4 linked regions of the Arabidopsis thaliana genome follow. The protein of the gene in region 1 interacts with the protein of each later gene in a pairwise test. Each region holds a gene or a part of one and is shown in the gene's direction. Other genes may lie near its edges. The genes, in order: BEL1, ERF12, KNAT2 and RGL2.

Region 1 (6,553 bases):
AATACATGTGCCAAGCAGAAGAACGACTATATTAGTTTTCTATGTCAACATTTAAGAAACATTTATTTAAAATTTGAATATTTGATTTTGTATGTCAGCAATGTTTAAGAAAACTTTGATTTTTTGTTTTCCTTCTTTTGCGTACATATTAAATGGAATTTAATAGAAAACCATTAAATCTTGATATAATTAACTTCTTCGCCCTTGCAGTTACTAACAAGGAGACTTTTGTTTTGGTACTTTCTCGATTAGTTTAGTGACCGACCAACAACGTATTTTAAAACTCAAAACACAATCTCTTTCACGTACTGTGCGAAGTGCAAGTCGAATAATGACATCAGTCCATTTGTGTTGTATTACACGGGACTACGATCTCTATTCTACTATATATAATTACTATTAATTAAAATGTTTATATAGTTATGATATGGTTGATAGTAATTTAATAGTAATTGTTAAACAGTAGAGAAGTGACACTGAGACATATCTGAGAAAAGCCTGAACTCAACTCCTACTTCTGGTTTGATTTCTTGGGATTCGTTCTCTTTCATTTACTTACCTCTCCATCTATACACCAACATATATATATATATATTGGTATGTTAATTCTCCAAAAAAAAAAAAAACTATTTTAGGAGCAAAACTTTTTCACAGTTATTCATTTTTTAAGTTAACTTAACTTCTCTTCTTTGTTTGAAAATTCATTTATCATCAAATAATTCTGTTATAAATTAGACCTGATAATAATTCTTTAACAAAGAAAATATATTTTAGGAGCAAAATAGGCAGAGCCGCAGAGGCATACATGTATTATATATAACGATTATTTATGTATAGAAAGGGACACCTTTTGTACAAAATACTAGTTAAATTTGTACATTCACGTGACTGGTTGGCTAAATTTAGAATATTATTATTTTCAATTAAAAATCATCGTCAATGTTCAAATATTGCTTGAGATACGCTATGCTTCATAAAAATGTTTAAAAAGTAGTTCCAAAAAATATTTTCACCAAAAAAAAAAGTAGTTCCAAAAATATTCATTTAATAACAAAATTTGCCTACATAAGCTTAGCAAACGACACTAACACCAAAATTGATATCATTTTCTTAGATAACATATTGTATACATATCTACATACATACTAAATACATATACACGTAGATTACACGTATGGATTCAGCAATAAAAATCAAAATACTAAATACATATATACATATATATATATATATATGAACATTTAAATACTAAATTATGTTTAATAAATAATTAAATCAACGTAGAGATATGTCATATGAAGATGGCTTGTATAATTAGTTTGTGTACCGGGCAAAGGATCTCTAATTTTTGTTTTCTTTAGTTCAGTTTAATTATTTGTTATCTATCCAATCAATTTTTTTTCTAAACTGTTTGGACCAATGTACGTACGTACCATCCTTTTTGATTTTTTTTGTAAACTAAATTTTCGAATTAGCAGGTTCTTAATAATTGAACGAAGAAAATAAAGAATAGAGGTAGACACCTGTAGTATTTTCTTGGTCAGACCAATAATTTATAATTCAACGTCAAAGAAGAAGAAAAATATAAACCATTATTTCATTATGACTTACGTATACCAAAATACACAAATTAAATGTATAATTGTGAGGCATTTTATATGCGGGAAAAAATAAAATAAAAAGAATATTAATATTTCTTTTGAAAATTGTAAAGCATTTTGACCCACTTGTGATATATATATATATATAGATATATATAGAGAGAGAGATTAAAACATTGATGGCTAGCTATAGAGTCTATGGCAGGGTCATGATCACCTGTCTTCTGATCTCTGAAGAGATACCAATCTGATTTTTTCTCTTCCTAGGTTTAATTTTATTTTACCATTTTATAATTCTTTATTTTTGCCTGTAGTACAATTTACAGACCCATACTAAAAGAAAAATTAAATTTTGTCAAAGTACAAAACAAAGAGAGAGGTGAAGCCACACAATCTCTTTTCTTCTCTCTCTCTCTGTTATATCTCTTCTGTTTAATTCTTTTATTCTTCTTCGTCTATCTTCTCCTATAATCTCTTCTCTCTCCCTCTTCACCTAAAGAATAAGAAGAAAAATAATTCACATCTTTATGCAAACTACTTTCTTGTAGGGTTTTAGGAGCTATCTCTATTGTCTTGGTTCTGATACAAAGTTTTGTAATTTTCATGGTATGAGAAGATTTGCCTTTCTATTTTGTTTATTGGTTCTTTTTAACTTTTTCTTGGAGATGGGTTCTTGTAGATCTTAATGAAACTTCTGTTTTTGTCCCAAAAAGAGTTTTCTTTTTTCTTCTCTTCTTTTTGGGTTTTCAATTCTTGAGAGACATGGCAAGAGATCAGTTCTATGGTCACAATAACCATCATCATCAAGAGCAACAACATCAAATGATTAATCAGATCCAAGGGTTTGATGAGACAAACCAAAACCCAACCGATCATCATCATTACAATCATCAGATCTTTGGCTCAAACTCCAACATGGGTATGATGATAGACTTCTCTAAGCAACAACAGATTAGGATGACAAGTGGTTCGGATCATCATCATCATCATCATCAGACAAGTGGTGGTACTGATCAGAATCAGCTTCTGGAAGATTCTTCATCTGCCATGAGACTATGCAATGTTAATAATGATTTCCCAAGTGAAGTAAATGATGAGAGACCACCACAAAGACCAAGCCAAGGTCTTTCCCTTTCTCTCTCCTCTTCAAATCCTACAAGCATCAGTCTCCAATCTTTCGAACTCAGACCCCAACAACAACAACAACAAGGGTATTCCGGTAATAAATCAACACAACATCAGAATCTCCAACACACGCAGATGATGATGATGATGATGAATAGTCACCACCAAAACAACAACAATAACAATCATCAGCATCATAATCATCATCAGTTTCAGATTGGGAGTTCCAAGTATTTGAGTCCAGCTCAAGAGCTACTGAGTGAGTTTTGCAGTCTTGGAGTAAAGGAAAGCGATGAAGAAGTGATGATGATGAAGCATAAGAAGAAGCAAAAGGGTAAACAACAAGAAGAGTGGGACACAAGTCACCACAGCAACAATGATCAACATGACCAATCTGCGACTACTTCTTCAAAGAAACATGTTCCACCACTTCACTCTCTTGAGTTCATGGAACTTCAGAAAAGAAAAGCCAAGTTGCTCTCCATGCTCGAAGAGGTATATATATTTTCAAGAAATTATTTCATTACTACTATCAAAACTTACATGAGTTTCTTAGAAAATCTAATCCTTTTTTATTTGGTTTCAACTTATTCCTAAAAATGTAAAATACCCACAAGTCTTTTACAAATCTTTTTTTTTTTCCTTTCATTTGGTTTCAACTTATTCCTAAATATGTAAGATACCCATAAATCTTGTATTTTTTCGATTCTTGATTAGGTCCATATATTTCTTAAAGTTACAAATTTCTTTTAGATATTAAGATAAAAAGATTCTTTTTTGTCTTCATTCTTTCATGTATTCTCGTCGAAAACAAGTTCGATCGTATCAACTACGAAAAGATCAACCCTTTTAATTCCTTTACTCATTATTTCTTTTTTTCTATAGAACCAAAATATAATTTTGTTTTCTTTGCTTTGAGCTAATTTGGAGACTCTAGTGGTCCTCCATATTTATAGCAATCAGTTTCATCATCATAAGCCATAACGAGTTGTTTCTTTTTCGTGTATTTACTCATTCTAAGAATCTACATTTACACGATTGTGATTGAAATCTTTGTGAATGGTGTGGGGTAACGTTTTTTTGCGGTTTTTTGGCAGCTTAAAAGAAGATATGGACATTACCGAGAGCAAATGAGAGTTGCGGCGGCAGCCTTTGAAGCGGCGGTTGGACTAGGAGGGGCAGAGATATACACTGCGTTAGCGTCAAGGGCAATGTCAAGACACTTTCGGTGTTTAAAAGACGGACTTGTGGGACAGATTCAAGCAACAAGTCAAGCTTTGGGAGAGAGAGAAGAGGATAATCGTGCGGTTTCTATTGCAGCACGTGGAGAAACTCCACGGTTGAGATTGCTCGATCAAGCTTTGCGGCAACAGAAATCGTATCGCCAAATGACTCTTGTTGACGCTCATCCTTGGCGTCCACAACGCGGCTTGCCTGAACGCGCAGTCACAACGTTGAGAGCTTGGCTCTTTGAACACTTTCTTCACCCGTAAGTTATTTCATATACATCCTCTTAATATATTTACACATACCTAAAAGTTACTAATTGTGTCTTTCTGAAGTGATCAATGAAGGTAGAATCACAAGTTAATTGGGTATATTTATGGAGCTATATAAAACCTCTTTAACGATTTTATTTCATTGATAGTACGTTGATAAATAGTATGATAGGTTTTTTTTGTTTGTTACATGAATATTTTTGAACATATAAAAGTAAAAAAATATGTACATTTTATATAGAGAGATTGAGATTGACTTGACAAGCATAGGATACAATCTACCTTAATCTGTTAATTGCATATAGCTTTTTTATTTTCCTTTTTCTTTCATTTGCACTATTGGTGTGAAAGTGAGTGTACAAACATATACATATACACATGTATATATATGTATACGAACATATAAAATTAAATAAAATAAATTTAACTGGTGGATGAAAGACAGAAATAGAGAAAGGTACAAAGTGGATTGAGAGAGAGAATCAATGTTCTTTACCTAACACTAACAAAAGAGAGAAACTATACATAACTCCTTGCTTTTTTCTCCATGTTTTTATTTTGTTCTTTTTCTTCTACTTTTTATTTATTTAATTTACAGAAGTTATATGTTTATCATCATATGTAACACTTGTCTCCATCAATTCCCAAACACTGCTCAAACAATGAAACATCTTGTTAGTTTTCACCAAACCCTTTACCTTTGCTTCCATTTTATTTGCATCATTCTTCAATCATTTATATCCTTTTTTTTAATTACATATCCATTTGTCTTATATTTTTCCATTAAAGTAAAATTTTCTTATTTTTGTTTTCAGATATCCGAGCGATGTTGATAAGCATATATTGGCCCGACAAACTGGTTTATCAAGAAGTCAGGTAAAGAATAACTCCACTAATTCTTGATATATTCCAAAATTTATTATCCTATTTACTAAAGTTATAATAAACCAAAATTGTTAGGTATCAAATTGGTTTATTAATGCAAGAGTTAGGCTATGGAAACCAATGATTGAAGAAATGTACTGTGAAGAAACAAGAAGTGAACAAATGGAGATTACAAACCCGATGATGATCGATACTAAACCGGACCCGGACCAGTTGATCCGTGTCGAACCGGAATCTTTATCCTCAATAGTGACAAACCCTACATCCAAATCCGGTCACAACTCAACCCATGGAACGATGTCGTTAGGGTCAACGTTTGACTTTTCCTTGTACGGTAACCAAGCTGTGACATACGCTGGTGAAGGAGGGCCACGTGGTGACGTTTCCTTGACGCTTGGGTTACAACGTAACGATGGTAACGGTGGTGTGAGTTTAGCGTTGTCTCCAGTGACGGCTCAAGGTGGCCAACTTTTCTACGGTAGAGACCACATTGAAGAAGGACCGGTTCAATATTCAGCGTCGATGTTAGATGATGATCAAGTTCAGAATTTGCCTTATAGGAATTTGATGGGAGCTCAATTACTTCATGATATTGTTTGAGATTAAAAGATTAGGACCAAAGTTATCGATACATATTTTCCAAAACCGATTCGGTTATGTAACGGTTTAGTTAGATAAAAACCAAATTAGATATTTATATATACCGTTGTCTGATTGGATTGGAGGATTGGTGGACAAGGAGATATTATTAATGTATGAGTTAGTTGGTTCGTCAATATCACTTGTAGGATATTTTCATTTTGTTTTTTAAAATATATTATTGAGAGGTTTTTTTCTCAATCTAATACTTTTTTCTTAATGTAAATCATATATATTTTTGTTTAAGGAAATATTATCAAGTGTCTTTTCAAATCTGTTTTCATATTCTAGGACCATCTCAAACTATTTGGAAACATTCAATCCCTTAAAATTTTGTTTTTCTTATAAATTTGGTTTCAAAATTTCGAAAAGTAAATGGATATATAGTTTTTTTTAAAGTATGTTGAGTGTCTGTACATGACAATCGTTTACGTATATACTTGATACAAATTATAAAATTGAATGTGTGTAACTGTGTATAATATACACATAAATAGATATCACACAAACATGGACGAGTGAAATTTGTGTAGTTGGCATGCATTATACGGATTTGGAATCGAATAGATACGACTTCAGTAACGAAAATCACTAGACCATCATATTTATATAAAGACATAATTAGAGAGAGTGTATGGTCTTTGTGTTATTAATGACAAAACCTAATAAAATAAAGTTGACGACAAACATAATAAAGAAAGAACAAACTGACTATTGGACCATCTCGGTCGATCGATAACGTTCACGTGTACACTCCCGTATACATATAAAGTTATGTACACATGAATAATGAATTCAAGCAAG
Region 2 (3,711 bases), on another chromosome or scaffold:
AAAAGAAAGATAAGAAAGCAACAAAATAGTCAAAAAAGAGGCGCGAAAGTGCAGTCAGATCAGGTGTGGGGAGAGAGGAGGAGGGGGTTCATGGAATGAGAAGAAGACACGTAAGCAGAGAGACATCAAAGTCATGATTTCGTGTGAGTGTTGAGTTGTGTTCTGTTTTTGTAGGAGGCAGCCAGTCAGTACCACTTGATGACGATGCTCCTTTTGTCCTAGCTGCTACTACAAAGACACGTCATAAAGCTCTTATGTATCACAGGCTCACGTGAACACGAAAGCCACATTCACATTTTTCTCCAAAATATTTCTTGAAAATGATTATTAGTACTGTAGTAGCTTATATAGCTTTGGGGTATCTCTCTTTTTTTTACTGTGCTTATAGGTAGGGTTAATTTAAATAATTAGATATGTCAGAGAGAGAGAAGTCAGACATCAGAGTTCGCACGTGTATAAATTTTGTTAGATATGGACCAATGCATTTGTTCAATCAAAACGACAGACCCTAAGCCTTGTCACGTGAAAGGAAACACAGATTTTTTTATTTATTTTTAAATAACCCTAAAACCAAACAAAAACATCTTACAAAATGTCAAGAAATAGAGAAGTTAAAAGACAAATTAATCTAATAAAACTTCAGTTGATAAAACAAAAACAAAAAACCTCTAACTAATTTGTTTTAATTCATTGTCTATTACTGAAAATTATAAGCCACTTCAATTGCTATAAATTTTTGACTCCTATGATTACTATATATTTTACACAATATAAAGACTTAAACTACGTCACTTTTTAGAGGGAAAAGAAAGAGCCTATGTAATCTACTCTATTAGTATAGACTAGAGAGTATAGTAAGTTTGCATAAGATGGGCTAATGAATTTTGGACAAAAAGAAAAACAAAATCAGTCAGAGCTAAAGATAGAGTAGTTGTGTCAAGTAACTTTATTTAATGATCTCCTTGTAGCCTTGTCCTCGTGCATCATAAATATATATGGGTGCCAATAAAACCCCAAAAGAGAGCATTTAAATACTTGTCAAATAATAGAGTGAAAGATACAAAAGATAGAGAGAGATGGCTATTATCAGTACTAGGGATTACGTCAGCATCCCTATGCCACAGGTTCAGTCAAAGAGGCGGCCCATTTTTCTTTCCTCTTCGTAAATGTACAAGATTATTTATTTTTAGTTCTTTTTTCTTTGATCATTTTGTATCAATGGTTGCTGTGAGAAAAAGCATCGAGATTGTTACGATCGAAAACAAAGTACTTGAATTATGAAAAAATGTTTGGAGAGCCTATGCAAAAATGATCTTTCTATCTTCTTTTTATAATAGCATAAATTTCATAGTATGGCATTATCGTCACTAGCAAGTAATGAGTTAATTTACCATAAGTTACAACGGTAATGAGGTTGTTTGGAGAGTAGAACTAAAATATTTTATTTCTAACCATTACCTAACAAATCTTTTTTATATAACAGAAGTTGTAAATGGTAGATAAGAAAACAGTATTAGCACTCAAAGGAATGATTAGCATTGTTTTCTTTCATGTCCTAGAATAAGTCCACTCACCACTAGAAGTATTCACTTTATGAGAAATCCTATTGTATTTTTTCAAATACATCAACTTATTAAAACAACATTATTTTGGTGTAGAACACCCACGTGTAACAATCTCTCAGCATACCACCGTCACATCACCCAACAGCAAAAGATCGAACGGTGCTTGATTCTTGCAAACCCCAGAGAAAACCTCGATCCTAGAAATCAAACACTATTCAGTTTTGTTTTTACTATTAACTTGCCATATATATTACGTATAGGCAACAAATAAAGATAGATAATCGTCAAAAGAAGCCGAGGATTACGGGTGTTCTCAAGCGGCCCTACAAACACACCTCTTGCTCTTTAAACTCACTCACTCTCTCTCTCATTTGGGTCAAACGAGCCAACAAAGCAAAACCTCTTTCTTCTCTTCTCCACTTTCTCTCTAGATTCTCTCATATTTCCCCTCTTGAGAGTCTAACAATGGCGTCAACGACGTGTGCAAGAGAGGTGCATTACAGAGGAGTCAGAAAGAGACCTTGGGGTCGCTACGCTGCTGAGATACGAGATCCTTGGAAGAAAACTAGGGTTTGGTTAGGCACTTTCGACACTCCCGAAGAAGCTGCTCTTGCTTACGACGGCGCTGCTCGTTTCCTCCGTGGTATCAAAGCCAAAACTAACTTCCCTTCTCCTCTCTCTCTCGACCTCAACCACCTCCCTTCCGCTCCCTCAGCCGCAACCGCCGCCGCAAATAACCAACCCCACCAACACCAACAGCTCTGGTTCGCTGCGCCTCCTCCTGTTCCTCCAAGCTCCGACCATCATCACCAACACCACCGCATTTTTCTCCGAACCGGTGTGCTAAACGACAAAACTTCAGATTACTCTTCTACAGAAGCGCCGCTTTACTTCACCTCCTCGCCTAACACAGCCACGTCATCGCCTGGTTATCAAGTGGTTGGGTTTCCGATGATGAATTCTTCTCCTTCCCCTGTTACGGTGAGACGTGGCTTAGCCATTGACCTCAACGAGCCTCCGCCGCTTTGGCTTTGAAAACAAACGATAAAGATGGATATAGCGGCGCCGTTTTGCCTACTTTTCTATACGGCGCCGTTTGAGACCACTTTCGGTGGAACTACTTTAGTTTCTTTTTTTAGCAAATAGTATCTTTTTGTTAGAGTTAGTAGACTTGTTTTTATAATTTAATCCTTCTTTTGTTCGTTATGTAAGAGTCGGAGATCGATTGTTGTTGTGAGATCCATATGTTGCGGAAAAAACAAGAAACTTCTTAATTAGCAACACAAAAACTTAACAACGTCTGAACGTGGATCTAATTATGTTTGTGGATCGTGTTACGACCGTCGCTTATGTCGGTTTCGAGGGGGTTTTAAAAATCTTATCGTATTCTATGGCGTGTCGTGAAGTACGGACTGACTTGTGCAGCTGTTTGCTTTGCTAGTGTCCTGTTTGACTCACGCGCCTCTCTCTTAAATCACGACAAAAGACGGACTGAGAAAAGAAGGAAACAAACAAAAGAGATAGAGACTAATGAGAGACGTAAATGCTGAGCAAGCGTGTGAGTTTGGACTGGCTTATTCACTTACGGACAAGATATGTGTATTATGAGTCTTGAGTTTGTAAATAAATTGTATTTTTTTATTTATTTTGAAAATTTTCATATGAATTCGAACAAAAGTTTTCTGATAAAATTAGAGGAAGTTTAATTGTCCTATAATTTTTCTGCTCATGTTTACCAATCTTATATATGTTATGCGTGTATACATATATATATAGAAGCATCTAAAAATATAAAATAAATAAAATTTTTGACGGTCCTATATAGATAAATATCAAATTCACATAACAAATTTATCTACAGAAGTCTTAAAATAACGCAAATTTCAGTAGTAAATGAAACAAACATGTTTGATATAATCAAATATCATAAGAAGTCAAATTAATTAACTAAAGGAGATCTCACGTAGCGAAATCAAAACTTTCATGCAGATTGTGAAGATTTTATGTTTATGTTTTATATGTAGAACCGGAATCGTGTAGTTTTATGAGACTATAAAACAGTCATAGAACTGTTACATGTGTTAGACACTTAGACATATGTATTGACTAAACAAAGATCATGCATTATGCATATTGCTTTCATAAA
Region 3 (7,935 bases), on another chromosome or scaffold:
TGTTTTGGTTAAGTTATAATTATATGTTAGTTAATTAAAAATGAGTCTCTCAGTGTTTAGTATAGTAATCTCAAATTTCAGTTCGTTACAAGCGTTATGTAGAGATGACTAAAAACAATATTTGTTAAAACATAACATATTAAGACAAGCATATAAAATTTTATAAACCATATTAAGATTATTTTGATAACATGTAATTGTATAGCATAAAACTACTTAGAAAGAAAGAGAAACAACCAAAGGAGAGTATTAAGACCTGGGATTCCCAAAATAAATAAATAAAATCCATAAGAAGCTAAGTAATCTCCAATTTCAGTAACATTTCTAACAACAGAAACAAATTTGTTCAAAACCACATATTGATGATATGAGATACAAAAAAGAATGACAATAAACTCCTACAAAGTTGAAGCAACCGAGTGGTACAATAATATATTAACAAAAACCTCAATACAAAGAATTGAAACCTAACAACACTAAATCACGGGAACAGTATGAACAATCCATGATGAAACATTCGAGTGGTACAATATTATCTTAGCAACATAATTATATGCACTTGATCTAATAATTTAGTCGTCACTTTTTGTTATTATTATTTTTTCTGCAAGACACACATTTTTTTTTTGCAATCATTTCTCGACGATAGTGATCATATAGATTATAGAAACTTGTGACCCCCCCCAAAAAATACAGAAAAGTTTAGAAACAATATAAATATGTGCTGTGAAGGCCACCGGTGGGGATTCAATACGATACGATCCAACGAAGTGAAATGAGAGAGAAGGAAAGTTCTGTCGTTTTTATAAGGTTTGATACTAAAACAAAGCTTTATGTCAGTTAAATTTCACACCAAAGTAGTCCGACGGATGTGTCAATCAAACCTGTCCATCATCAAAAAGACCTTTATGACATTTGTTTTTATTTTTTTTTGCGGAAAAAACGATATGGATCATCGGATCGGGTCTGGAGTAGACCCATGCAAAAATATAGTTTTTTTTCTTACAACAGGGTTTATAGATGGATTTTGGTTTATGACAAAAACTGCAGGTTCTGTTACTATATAAGGTAATGAAACATTTTGAGTTGATATTATACGCGACTAACAGATTCTCTATGAAAATAACAAGAAGTGCGATAAGTGGAGTGGCCACTATAAAAAATAGTTCCTAAGAGTGTGTTTAATTAGCAAATGACTGAAAGCAATTAAAAAACAAAAATTGTTTACTATGTTGTGATTGATAATGAGCACCTAGCTACCATAGACGTGTTTTACAGAGAAACAAAACTAGGTGAAAATTGAAAGAGTGAAATTGAAGTTGAACCGATCCGGTTAGACAACTAGAATCGTAGTAGCCTAGTAGGTGTCGGCCACCGTAATTGAAACAAAAAGCTTATTAATTAACAAAATTACCATCATTTGTTTTTACTGTCAAAATTCAAATTACCATCGTCTAACCTGTTTTTGTTAACAAGTACTAATTGTTGTCTTCATTAGCTAAGTCATAAATTCTAAAGGTTAGCGTGCTATTTTGATCATTTGTGCGATAATATTATATATCAAAAATAATCGTAACCATGTAATCGTACAGTTAAAAAAAGTGCTCTTGAATCACGAAGAAATCTTTTTATAATCACTCGAATCGTATTCCTTAACACATATGGCAAACCCTTGAAATCTTTCTTCTTTTATACTAGTACGACAAAATAAAATAAAAATTATGGTGTCTTTAAGAAAAACTTGTAAATTATCATAATAAACTATGAAAATTCATATTCGTGATTTTTTTTTTTTTTTGCTTTTCGTCACAAATCATTTTTTTTTTTTTTTGGTTTTTTGCTGAAATATTTACGATCATTGCCCTCAGACTACTATACTACGAGACCGCCTCAACTTGGCCAGTCTATCTATTTCCATTGTCTCTATCTCTCTCTCTCTTTGAAGCAGTTTGTTACTTCTTACTTTTGTGTTTCTTCATATTCTTCAGAAGCAAGCACAAGGCTAGGGATCGAAGAAGCGGCGATCACTGATCGTATCTCACTACGATCACATTAATGGATAGAATGTGTGGTTTCCGCTCGACGGAAGACTATTCGGAGAAAGCGACGTTGATGATGCCGTCCGATTATCAGTCTTTGATTTGTTCAACCACCGGAGACAATCAAAGACTGTTTGGATCCGACGAACTCGCTACCGCTTTGTCCTCGGAGTTGCTTCCGCGTATTCGAAAAGCTGAGGATAATTTCTCTCTTAGTGTCATCAAATCCAAAATCGCTTCTCATCCTTTGTATCCTCGCTTACTCCAAACCTACATCGATTGCCAAAAGGTGATCTCGCTGCTTTCGTGTTTTGTCTTTTCTTTTTCTTGTTGTGTATGATTTTGTGCTTTCAAGGTTAATTTGATTAAGCGTCAGGAATTTTACATGTATTCATCGTCGTATTTAAAGATAGTTCTCTTACTTTTTTTTTTCTATTCCACTTTAACCCTAAGATAAGATTGGAGAACTAGAGAGACTGTGTTTATATGTGAGAGTGATTTTTTTTTTTTTTTGGTTATTGATTGACAGGTGGGAGCGCCTATGGAAATAGCGTGTATATTGGAAGAGATTCAGCGAGAGAACCATGTGTACAAGAGAGATGTTGCTCCATTATCTTGCTTTGGAGCTGATCCTGAGCTTGATGAATTCATGGTTTCTCACTTTGTTCGTTGCCTTGAACTTTGATCTTCTAGTTTTTCTTAAAATATAATTTTGTTTTTTTGTGGTGTGATTCTAGGAAACCTACTGTGATATATTGGTTAAATACAAAACCGATCTTGCGAGGCCGTTCGACGAGGCTACAACTTTCATAAACAAGATTGAAATGCAGCTTCAGAACTTGTGCACTGGTCCAGCGTCTGCTACAGCTCTTTCAGGTCAGCACTAAAGTGATATCTATCTCTTGTTCGAGTGTACTTTTGATTTCTTGTTTCCTAGCTAGTGTTTTTATTGATCTTTGAGCACTATCCTCGGTTTGTGTGTCCTTTAAAATCCTTGCGCAAATTTCTCCTTACAGTTACAGATCTTGCGGATTAGAAAATCTATCCTCAGATAACTTTTCCTTTCTGTGCTTCAATGATCAGTTTCTTGGAATTGATGGAAAAATTGGAAATCTTCTACTGTTTTTTTTTTCCTTAAAGAAAACGAGAATCGATAAGTTGTTGTAGCTGAAACTAGGAGGAGCTTAGTAGATCCGGTTTAGACAACCCAAGGCAATAAAAGTCAGAAAAAAACAAGGAAACTCTAAAACCCTAGTTTTGTTAGAAAACAATGATTGATTCAGCCACATCTTTTATATTTGGTAGAAGTCATTCATGCTTTAGATAGATCCATGACCTTCACACATCTTTGTGACATTTATTTTCTATCATTAGCTATGGTTTAAGCTGTGGGGCGGATATTAGGGGAAAGCCGGTGGGTAGGATTTTCTCTGTTAGTGATATTTATTTTCCTAGTGATTTTGGTATGGTATACTTTTCTTTTGTTACTTTTATATATACTTGTATTATTATCTTCTCCTCTGTCAGAAGAAAATATGGGTCTATGAAAGCAAAAACTTTTGCGCTAGAGATTCTGATTTTGACGTTTCAGTGTCGTACTGGAAGTTTTTTAATTGCTTATTTCCAGTGAAAATTCAATCATAGAGAAAAAACCTAGTCATAACTTCCACTAATAAATGCCACTGATTTTTCTTGAGTTTGTCCTTGGCTTCATGTTTAGATCTCTAGTAGTATCGCTTGTTTTCATCTTCATTAAGAGACTGATGGGTAAAACAAAACTTTACTAGTTCTTGATTACTCCAACTTCTCTTGGTGAATGAACCAAAGTTTATACTACTTTTCCATAGAAAGTGTCAGACTTAAGTTTTATCCATGTCACTTTAGTTTTTACTATTAGAGAGATAAAAATTTATTGTGTATAATGAGTATAACATAAGATTGATTTGTTTTCTTAGTGTATGTGAAAATTAATGACACTAGCCCTTATTTTTGAATACATTGTATTTGCACCTAAGGGTCTTACATTTGAAGTCCACTGTGTTCAAATTACATGTACAAAATCATTGGTGTGATTAATTTTCACGAACCTATCTGACTTAGTAAACCAAAGAAGTGTCTTGATCAGGTCAAATAGTTGGATTTTGTGTTTCTTTAGCTCGAAAAAGCTAAACCAAATCTCTGTTGGATTTCAGTTAATCTGAGCTCATGCGCATGTAAGTCCATAAAAATGCTTGATGGCCAAGAGGCTTGTATATTCTGCATGTCGTGGTTAATGTGTCTGTTATTCTTGTATTCTTGTTGGAATTTTATGTGAATAAATAAATGATTGAAATGCATTAAGACACTTACACAATGTAAGTGAGGTTTACTAATTTGCCGAGGTATTAAACTAAACTTAATGGTACCTTCTTTTCCACCATTTGTTTTCTTAATTAAGCAGAATAGAACTTTGTAAGTATTTTACAAGCAGCCCAAATAAGGAATAGTAGGTTTCTTAAAAGAATGTAATTTTAGTTGTCTTTGTGTTGTTTTTGTAGCTTATATTGGTTAAACCTTTCCAACAGGGCAAAAATTAGTTTCTTGTTAATCTACACTAATCTACTTAGCCACGTTCATGTTGTCAGAATACGTGTGTATATTTTTTATAAGTAAAGTATTTCACTATCTTAGGGATTTTAAAGTAATCATTTTACTTCTTCATCTCCACCTGATAAGAACTAGCTGGAAAAAAATTGGAACTACAATATAGTGGAATTCAGCTTTAATAGTCTTCTTTTTCTTATATGTTGATATCAAATGCTGCTTCGGTTGTACTTTGTTAGCATTGTTTAATTCCGAAAAGTTGTTAATACTTATCAGCGTACTTAATTAATTGGAGTTTACATAGGGAATAATCTTGTCCAAAAGGTTGAAAAACAGATCACTTGCAGCTTGAATTTATCTTTATTGGACGAATGTTTAGTTTTTTAATGGTTTTGAAGTACCACTTACCTTTTTAGCGTAATCTCATGTATGATTTTGAAGGAATATATATTACCTTATGAACATCTTTTCCTTGGTCAATACCTTTTTCTGTTTCTTAAGTCCCGAGAAAGGACTTTCTTTTCAACTGAATATCTTAAACTAATAGTATAACTCATAATATGTAGTTTTCAGAGTCATGTGCTTTTGGTTTCTTTTCGTGCTAATATGCTTTAGGAATAAACCAAATCCTCTTTAGTCAACTGATGTTTGTCATAGCAATTGTGTTTACTTATTTTTTTCGTTCTCGCTTTAGTGTGCAATTGACCCTTTTCGTGATTAAGATGGTCAATCTTGGCCATGGTTTTTGTTCCATCCTCATATTTTCTTCTAATCATTTGGTGTTCGGATGGTGTATTGATACAATGAGATCCATGTGCGATTTTGTATCCATATGTGGAATTTAGGACTATTGTTTAAGATTATTCACTACAGTCTACAACTAGTATTTTTGTGTTGTAAAATGCATTCACCCTAGGTCCCTATGCATTCACCCTAGATATATCTTTGGCTGTGAATGATATTCTATTCATTCAATGTTCGTAGGAAACTCGAAAAGCATGTTCTTTTGAACAAAATACTCTGTCATGGCACATTAGTTACTTCACCAGTTCTAGACATGATAATACTGATAATCTGTTTGGTTATATCACCTTCGTTGATAGAATGGTCCTTTTGACACGCACAAAAAAACACACCCAAATGCTTGAATTAGAAATCTTTTAGCCCTTTTTAATTTCTAAATAGAAGAAGTTGGAGACAGAAGCATGAGGTGGTCAAGTGTCACATGGACTCCCGTGGATTACGTTGGTGGATCCCTTTATGACCCAATCGCAACACTCTCTTTTTAAGATTTGATTTGATTTTAAAGAAAAAGAAAGAGAAGAAAATAGGGGAGAGACATGGGTTTTGATTTATGTACAATGCAATCATCTTACGACTAATGTTTCTCCACATCTTTTTCTACTGTTGCTTAGTGGTTGTCATTTCCTCTCTGCGTTTGTTCCCTTAATGGGCCATGCAATTTCCACGTGTTTAACTTTTTTTGGGAGATGTACAAGTCTATCTACTTTTTTTTTATCAGTGCATGTTGTCTCTTTCGCATTGTCTTGATGTTATATAGGAACCAAATTCGGCTAATAGGTAAAGAACAAACCGAGTTACTATTGCACATACCATCCTCAACTAGCAAAGTTTTCATGGATAGGGTGTGAACTATATTTTGTGTGATTTGTCTAAGGATCAGCTCATTAGTGGTGTAGCAAACTACAACCTAAACTCTTTAGGGAGACTTTGAAACGATGTCTTTCTGTAATCACTAAGTTGAGAATACTAAGTGAAATTTCTATTAATGCAAATAATTTGACCATTAATCATGTTTAAACTCCCTTAATTAGGCTCCCTTTTAGTCGCAGTAACATAGGGGTCAGTATGGTATGGTCATAAATGGGGCATTATGAGAAAGTTCATAAATGTTGGGGAAGCGTTTTTTCCGGGGGTCACTCAAACAAGTGTCAGAAAGGTGATACGTGTCGTGACTCAGGTGGCTAGTGGTAAGTCCCAAAGGAGCACGTCAGTGGCAATGGAAGCTAAACTATTCAGTGACTGCGAAAGTTTTTGACTGATCATTTTTGTGCCCGGGTCTTGTAAAACCTCGATATTATCTCGCTATCCTTGTTTTTCCCCTTTTACCCCTTTCTTTCACCCTTTTTTTTTTTTTTTTTTCCTTTCTTTCACCCTTGTTCTCTTCTCTATGCTTTTTTGGCTCTTTTCTTCTTTTAGCTGCTTTAGCCACTTAGTCATTTAGCCGAGCCTACTAGTATCTTAGTGTTAGCTATGTTTGTTAGTGTTGGCATAGTGGTAGAATTTGCTTTCTACATTGTCAAATATGCTACCATAAATAGCACCACCATACATTCTCCTAGTACATTTTATCGGTATGGCACGTATTTGGCTAATACGTGGGAGCTAATCATTATTGAATCTTCTGTATGACATTATTCTCATGTATGAGCAGATGATGGTGCGGTTTCATCTGACGAGGAACTGAGAGAAGATGATGACATAGCAGCGGATGACAGCCAACAAAGAAGCAATGACCGCGATCTGAAGGACCAGCTACTACGCAAATTTGGTAGCCATATCAGTTCATTGAAACTCGAGTTCTCTAAAAAGAAGAAGAAAGGGAAGCTACCAAGAGAAGCAAGACAAGCGTTGCTCGATTGGTGGAATGTTCATAATAAATGGCCTTACCCTACTGTAAGTGTCTTTCTGATTCCACCGTAACCTAGCATACACTCATTAATTTATTTCTTCGACATATTAATATCCGCCTCTCGAATGTGTATAGGAAGGCGACAAAATATCTCTGGCTGAAGAAACAGGTTTGGATCAAAAACAAATCAACAATTGGTTTATAAACCAAAGGAAACGCCATTGGAAGCCTTCGGAGAACATGCCGTTTGATATGATGGACGATTCTAATGAAACATTCTTTACCGAGTAATGAAAAGAGAGACATGAAATTGTGCATTGTATAATTTTTACACTGTTTTTCCAAGAAAAGAAAACAGTAAAAAGCTTTTGGTAAATGGGGCATCATCGCGAATGAATGGAACCCGTTAGCCAAAACGGTCAAGGGCGTAACGAGACATTGTATTGGAAATAGTGGCAATATTATGTCACTAATCTTCCAATCATCCAAATTGATAGATTTCTTATTTGTATTGAACCTTACTTAGATAGCTGATGTGTCAACTAAATAATTTATTTTCATTATCCATTCGGGTAGAAGAATTCATTATCCATTCGAATTTTGTGACTATTTGGCTCGGTTTCGGAGCCGGATTTTTCGGATCGGTTTTTGGATTTCGGA
Region 4 (4,488 bases), on another chromosome or scaffold:
CGATTGGGAATCATGGAGAACAGGGGCGTAACATGAACCCTAATGAGATGATGTTGCTGATGAATGGATGGGGGAACAATAACAACAACAATAATAGCCAGAAGGAAGAGAAGGAACCATTAGAAGATTTCTTGAATGATGAAGAAAATGAAAATGGTGAACATGAGAAGTGGCGAAGAAGTGGGGATTTTGATTTGAATATTCGGTAAATGAAACCATGACTCAGATTTTCTTTTGGTTTGGTTATCCAAATACTCGTAGTTTGGTGATGTAGTTAAATCTTGAAAGGTAGTGAATAAGGTGAAAGATAAATTGACGATGATGAAGTGTTCTTTGAGGTGGACTAGTTTTGGCGAGTGAGCATGACGCGCTTCAGTTTCGATTCTCTCATCTTATGAATTTTAAAAGAGGGATCCTAAATAAAAAGTAACAAATAATGTAAACCACAAAAGCAAAACAGGCCAATTTAGACACAAGTTACATCAAATGACTAAAAATGGAAAAGCATGCACCATGTGACTTCTAACACAACAACGAATATCATTTTCTTGTAGCTGCGATTGGGACCATACCTATATACAATCCCCACAACATTTTTCTATAATTTATTTTCTTATATTCCAAAAGGATCTTTTACGGTTTCCAAACGATACCACTATTCGAAAAAACCTTAATTATTATGCATGATGATGATGTGTGTATGTAAAACTGCTGAAAGATATATGCAATAAATTAATGAAAGTAACCTTATGTTGTGGACGTCTCGTAGGCTATGTCTTCCTCTACGTGGCACATGAGAAGTTGCTCATGTGTCCCCCTCAAATACTTGAGCTGTAGACTGTAGTTTTATCTCAGTGAAACAATACATAGCTAAAAACATATTTGTTTATCATTATGGTAAAAAAGAATTCACATCACCAGAATGTTAGAACTTGGTCAAGAAAAAAGAGAGTAATAGTTGAATCATATTTGTGTCTGATTATACTTTTCTTATGGACCAATAAAATAATTAGTTATCTAATGTTGTCTCAGTTTAATATGATCTCTAAAAACTGATTACTCTATGACATTAAACCTGCTGGTAACAAAAAATTGTTTGCTTTGAAAATTTGTATTTTTATCCAAACACTAACAACTTAGGATTCTTGCTTCATGATTATACACTTTCGACTGAGGAAAAGATTATATACTTTCTACCAAGATATGAGAAAATCAAATTTGTATAATTCAATATTTTCAGTTGTCATTAGAAAAGAGTTGATTATCAAATGTCAATTATTTAGTGAAAAAATAAACATTATCCAACATAAGGAAAAAAACTACACTTAAGTGCCATTATCTTAACACGCATTTGGTGCCGTTTGGGTTTAAGAACAACGAAGTCGTAAGCGAGAATATGACAATATTCAATGGCATTTAAGAACAATTAAGTCGTGATCGTCTATAAGACTATGACACTATCATTAAAAGACACTTTAATCACTTCACAACTTAAAAACATCTTACCAACAAATATGACGAAAGCACACTACAACCTAAAAGTTATAAAGTTCCATTGGTCAAAACTACTAAACAGATTTAGAAATCTCTACTAAACAGTTATAAAGAAAATTATCCATTACTACAAAAAAAAAGGAGTAAATTTCTTGGAGTTAGGAAAAAATGAAAGAGAGAAACAGATGCCAAACAATAGTGGCATGCTCTGATTCTTATCTCTTAAACACACTTCACAGTCACTTCTCTAATTGGACCTCTCTCTCACTCCCTCGTGCTTTATATATTGCTCCTCTCAGAATCTCCTTTCTTTCCACAAAAATTGTCTGTAACCAAATCACAACAAAGACCCACAAAATTCTTTTTTTTTTCTTTTTCAAATCCCATTAATAAAAACCTTACCAACCCATGAAGTAAAGTAAACTCCTTTCTTATAAACTCTCTTTTGTTCTTTTTTTTTCAACTTCATCAGTCTCTTAACTCACCATCACAAGAACAAGAAAGATGAAGAGAGGATACGGAGAAACATGGGATCCGCCACCAAAACCACTACCAGCTTCTCGTTCCGGAGAAGGTCCTTCAATGGCGGATAAGAAGAAGGCTGATGATGACAACAACAACAGCAACATGGATGATGAGCTTCTTGCTGTTCTTGGCTACAAGGTTCGATCTTCTGAGATGGCTGAAGTAGCACAGAAGCTTGAACAACTTGAGATGGTCTTGTCTAATGATGATGTTGGTTCTACTGTCTTAAACGACTCTGTTCATTATAACCCATCTGATCTCTCTAACTGGGTCGAGAGCATGCTTTCTGAGCTGAACAACCCGGCTTCTTCGGATCTTGACACGACCCGAAGTTGTGTGGATAGATCCGAATACGATCTCAGAGCAATTCCGGGTCTTTCTGCGTTTCCAAAGGAAGAGGAAGTCTTTGACGAGGAAGCTAGCAGCAAGAGGATCCGACTCGGATCGTGGTGCGAATCGTCGGACGAGTCAACTCGGTCCGTGGTGCTCGTTGACTCTCAGGAGACCGGAGTTAGACTTGTCCACGCACTAGTGGCGTGCGCTGAGGCGATTCACCAGGAGAATCTCAACTTAGCTGACGCGCTGGTGAAACGCGTGGGAACACTCGCGGGTTCTCAAGCTGGAGCTATGGGAAAAGTCGCTACGTATTTTGCTCAAGCCTTGGCTCGTCGTATTTACCGTGATTACACGGCGGAGACGGACGTTTGCGCGGCGGTGAACCCATCTTTCGAAGAGGTTTTGGAGATGCACTTTTACGAGTCTTGCCCTTACCTGAAGTTCGCTCATTTCACGGCGAACCAAGCGATTCTAGAAGCTGTTACGACGGCGCGTAGAGTTCACGTCATTGATTTAGGGCTTAATCAAGGGATGCAATGGCCTGCTTTAATGCAAGCTTTAGCTCTCCGACCCGGTGGACCTCCGTCGTTTCGTCTCACCGGAATCGGACCACCGCAGACGGAGAATTCAGATTCGCTTCAACAGTTAGGTTGGAAATTAGCTCAATTCGCTCAGAACATGGGCGTTGAATTCGAATTCAAAGGCTTAGCCGCTGAGAGTTTATCGGATCTTGAACCCGAAATGTTCGAAACCCGACCCGAATCTGAAACCTTAGTGGTTAATTCGGTATTTGAGCTCCACCGGTTATTAGCCCGATCCGGTTCAATCGAAAAGCTTCTCAATACGGTTAAAGCTATTAAACCGAGTATCGTAACGGTGGTTGAGCAAGAAGCGAACCACAACGGAATCGTCTTCCTCGATAGGTTCAACGAAGCGCTTCATTACTACTCGAGCTTGTTTGACTCGCTCGAAGACAGTTATAGTTTACCGAGTCAAGACCGAGTTATGTCAGAAGTGTACTTAGGGAGACAGATACTCAACGTTGTTGCGGCGGAAGGGTCCGATCGGGTCGAGCGGCACGAGACGGCTGCACAGTGGAGGATTCGGATGAAATCCGCTGGGTTTGACCCGATTCATCTCGGATCTAGCGCGTTTAAACAAGCGAGTATGCTTTTATCGCTTTACGCTACCGGAGATGGATACAGAGTTGAAGAAAATGACGGATGTTTAATGATAGGGTGGCAGACGCGACCACTCATCACAACCTCGGCGTGGAAACTCGCCTGAGTCGCGGCGGTAGAGATGACTCGCCTGAAACCGGGAAAAACAATAAATGTTTTAAAAAATTAGGAAAAGAGACCGTAACTTTAGTTATGTTTTTACTTTTTAACCCGAAGTTTTTGTGTGTTTAACCTTTTTGCCTAAATGTTTACAACTTTATCTTTTTGGACCTTGTGCGTATCTTTGAGAGTTAAGAGAACGAGTAAAAAATCTTGTATCGTAGATCGAGCTAAGTAGTTTTCAATAAATGGAAGGATAACGATTCTGTATGTTTTTTACTTGATCCAATATATATGAATTTATTTAAATGATTTTGTGTCATATATTTTTCAAATTTGGACAGTTTCGTTGATAACATGGGAAGTGAACGTGAGCGTTTCTGAAAAGGCGGATCCAAAATGTACTTTCAGTTTCGAGGACTGATGTCAGCCTTTGTTAAAAGATTTTCTTCGAAATATATTTTGGTACATTTTTGTTTTCGAAACAGATTGTTCTTTTCTCTCTCTTTATTATGGGTTTGATGAGGTAATATGGATGTCAAATTGATTTTGACGTACGTTATCAACTTTTAAAAATATGCGAGGTGAAATTATTCTACTTTTATGAGATCATAAGCCTCAAATTCAATGGTCTTCTACCTAAGAGTTGGTGGATCTAAATTTTGGGGGGTTTCAGTTTTGAAAACATATATGAAGTTATTCTTTCTGGAATTCAATCTAGACGTATAGTCAAGAAGGAAATTATAAAACGACATTAACGTAGGGATTTTGGTCGGATAGGTTCGGATTATATATAGAACACTCCAATGGCACAATAATATCATTGAAACCTTTTTTTAAAGTAAAAGCGATT

The links.
Region 2: the proteins of BEL1 (region 1) and ERF12 interact in binary tests that used the Arabidopsis thaliana proteins (3 or more experiments, as listed by UniProt).
Region 3: the proteins of BEL1 (region 1) and KNAT2 interact in binary tests that used the Arabidopsis thaliana proteins (3 or more experiments, as listed by UniProt).
Region 4: the proteins of BEL1 (region 1) and RGL2 interact in binary tests that used the Arabidopsis thaliana proteins (3 or more experiments, as listed by UniProt).

The regions. Positions count from the first base shown.
Region 1 is NC_003076.8:16,578,061-16,584,613, forward strand, and holds BEL1 (POX (plant homeobox) family protein), read left to right. Parts: upstream 1-1,875; 5' UTR 1,876-2,363; coding exon 2,364-3,221; intron 3,222-3,823; coding exon 3,824-4,215; intron 4,216-5,040; coding exon 5,041-5,101; intron 5,102-5,185; coding exon 5,186-5,710; 3' UTR 5,711-6,017; downstream 6,018-6,553. UniProt on the Arabidopsis thaliana protein: Plays a major role in ovule patterning and in determination of integument identity via its interaction with MADS-box factors. Formation of complex with AG-SEP dimers negatively regulates the carpel identity process and favors the maintenance of ovule identity.
Region 2 is NC_003070.9:9,949,904-9,953,614, forward strand, and holds ERF12 (ERF domain protein 12), read left to right. Parts: upstream 1-1,858; 5' UTR 1,859-2,030; coding exon 2,031-2,600; 3' UTR 2,601-3,202; downstream 3,203-3,711.
Region 3 is NC_003070.9:26,574,580-26,582,514, forward strand, and holds KNAT2 (homeobox knotted-like protein), read left to right. Parts: upstream 1-1,906; 5' UTR 1,907-2,055; coding exon 2,056-2,328; intron 2,329-2,568; coding exon 2,569-2,703; intron 2,704-2,776; coding exon 2,777-2,915; intron 2,916-7,077; coding exon 7,078-7,319; intron 7,320-7,410; coding exon 7,411-7,566; 3' UTR 7,567-7,852; downstream 7,853-7,935. UniProt on the Arabidopsis thaliana protein: May play a role in meristem function, and may be involved in maintaining cells in an undifferentiated, meristematic state. Probably binds to the DNA sequence 5'-TGAC-3'.
Region 4 is NC_003074.8:818,790-823,277, reverse strand, and holds RGL2 (RGA-like 2), read left to right. Parts: upstream 1-1,625; 5' UTR 1,626-1,998; coding exon 1,999-3,642; 3' UTR 3,643-3,941; downstream 3,942-4,488. Other genes in the region: AT3G03460 (mediator of RNA polymerase II transcription subunit-like protein), read left to right, coding at 1-209.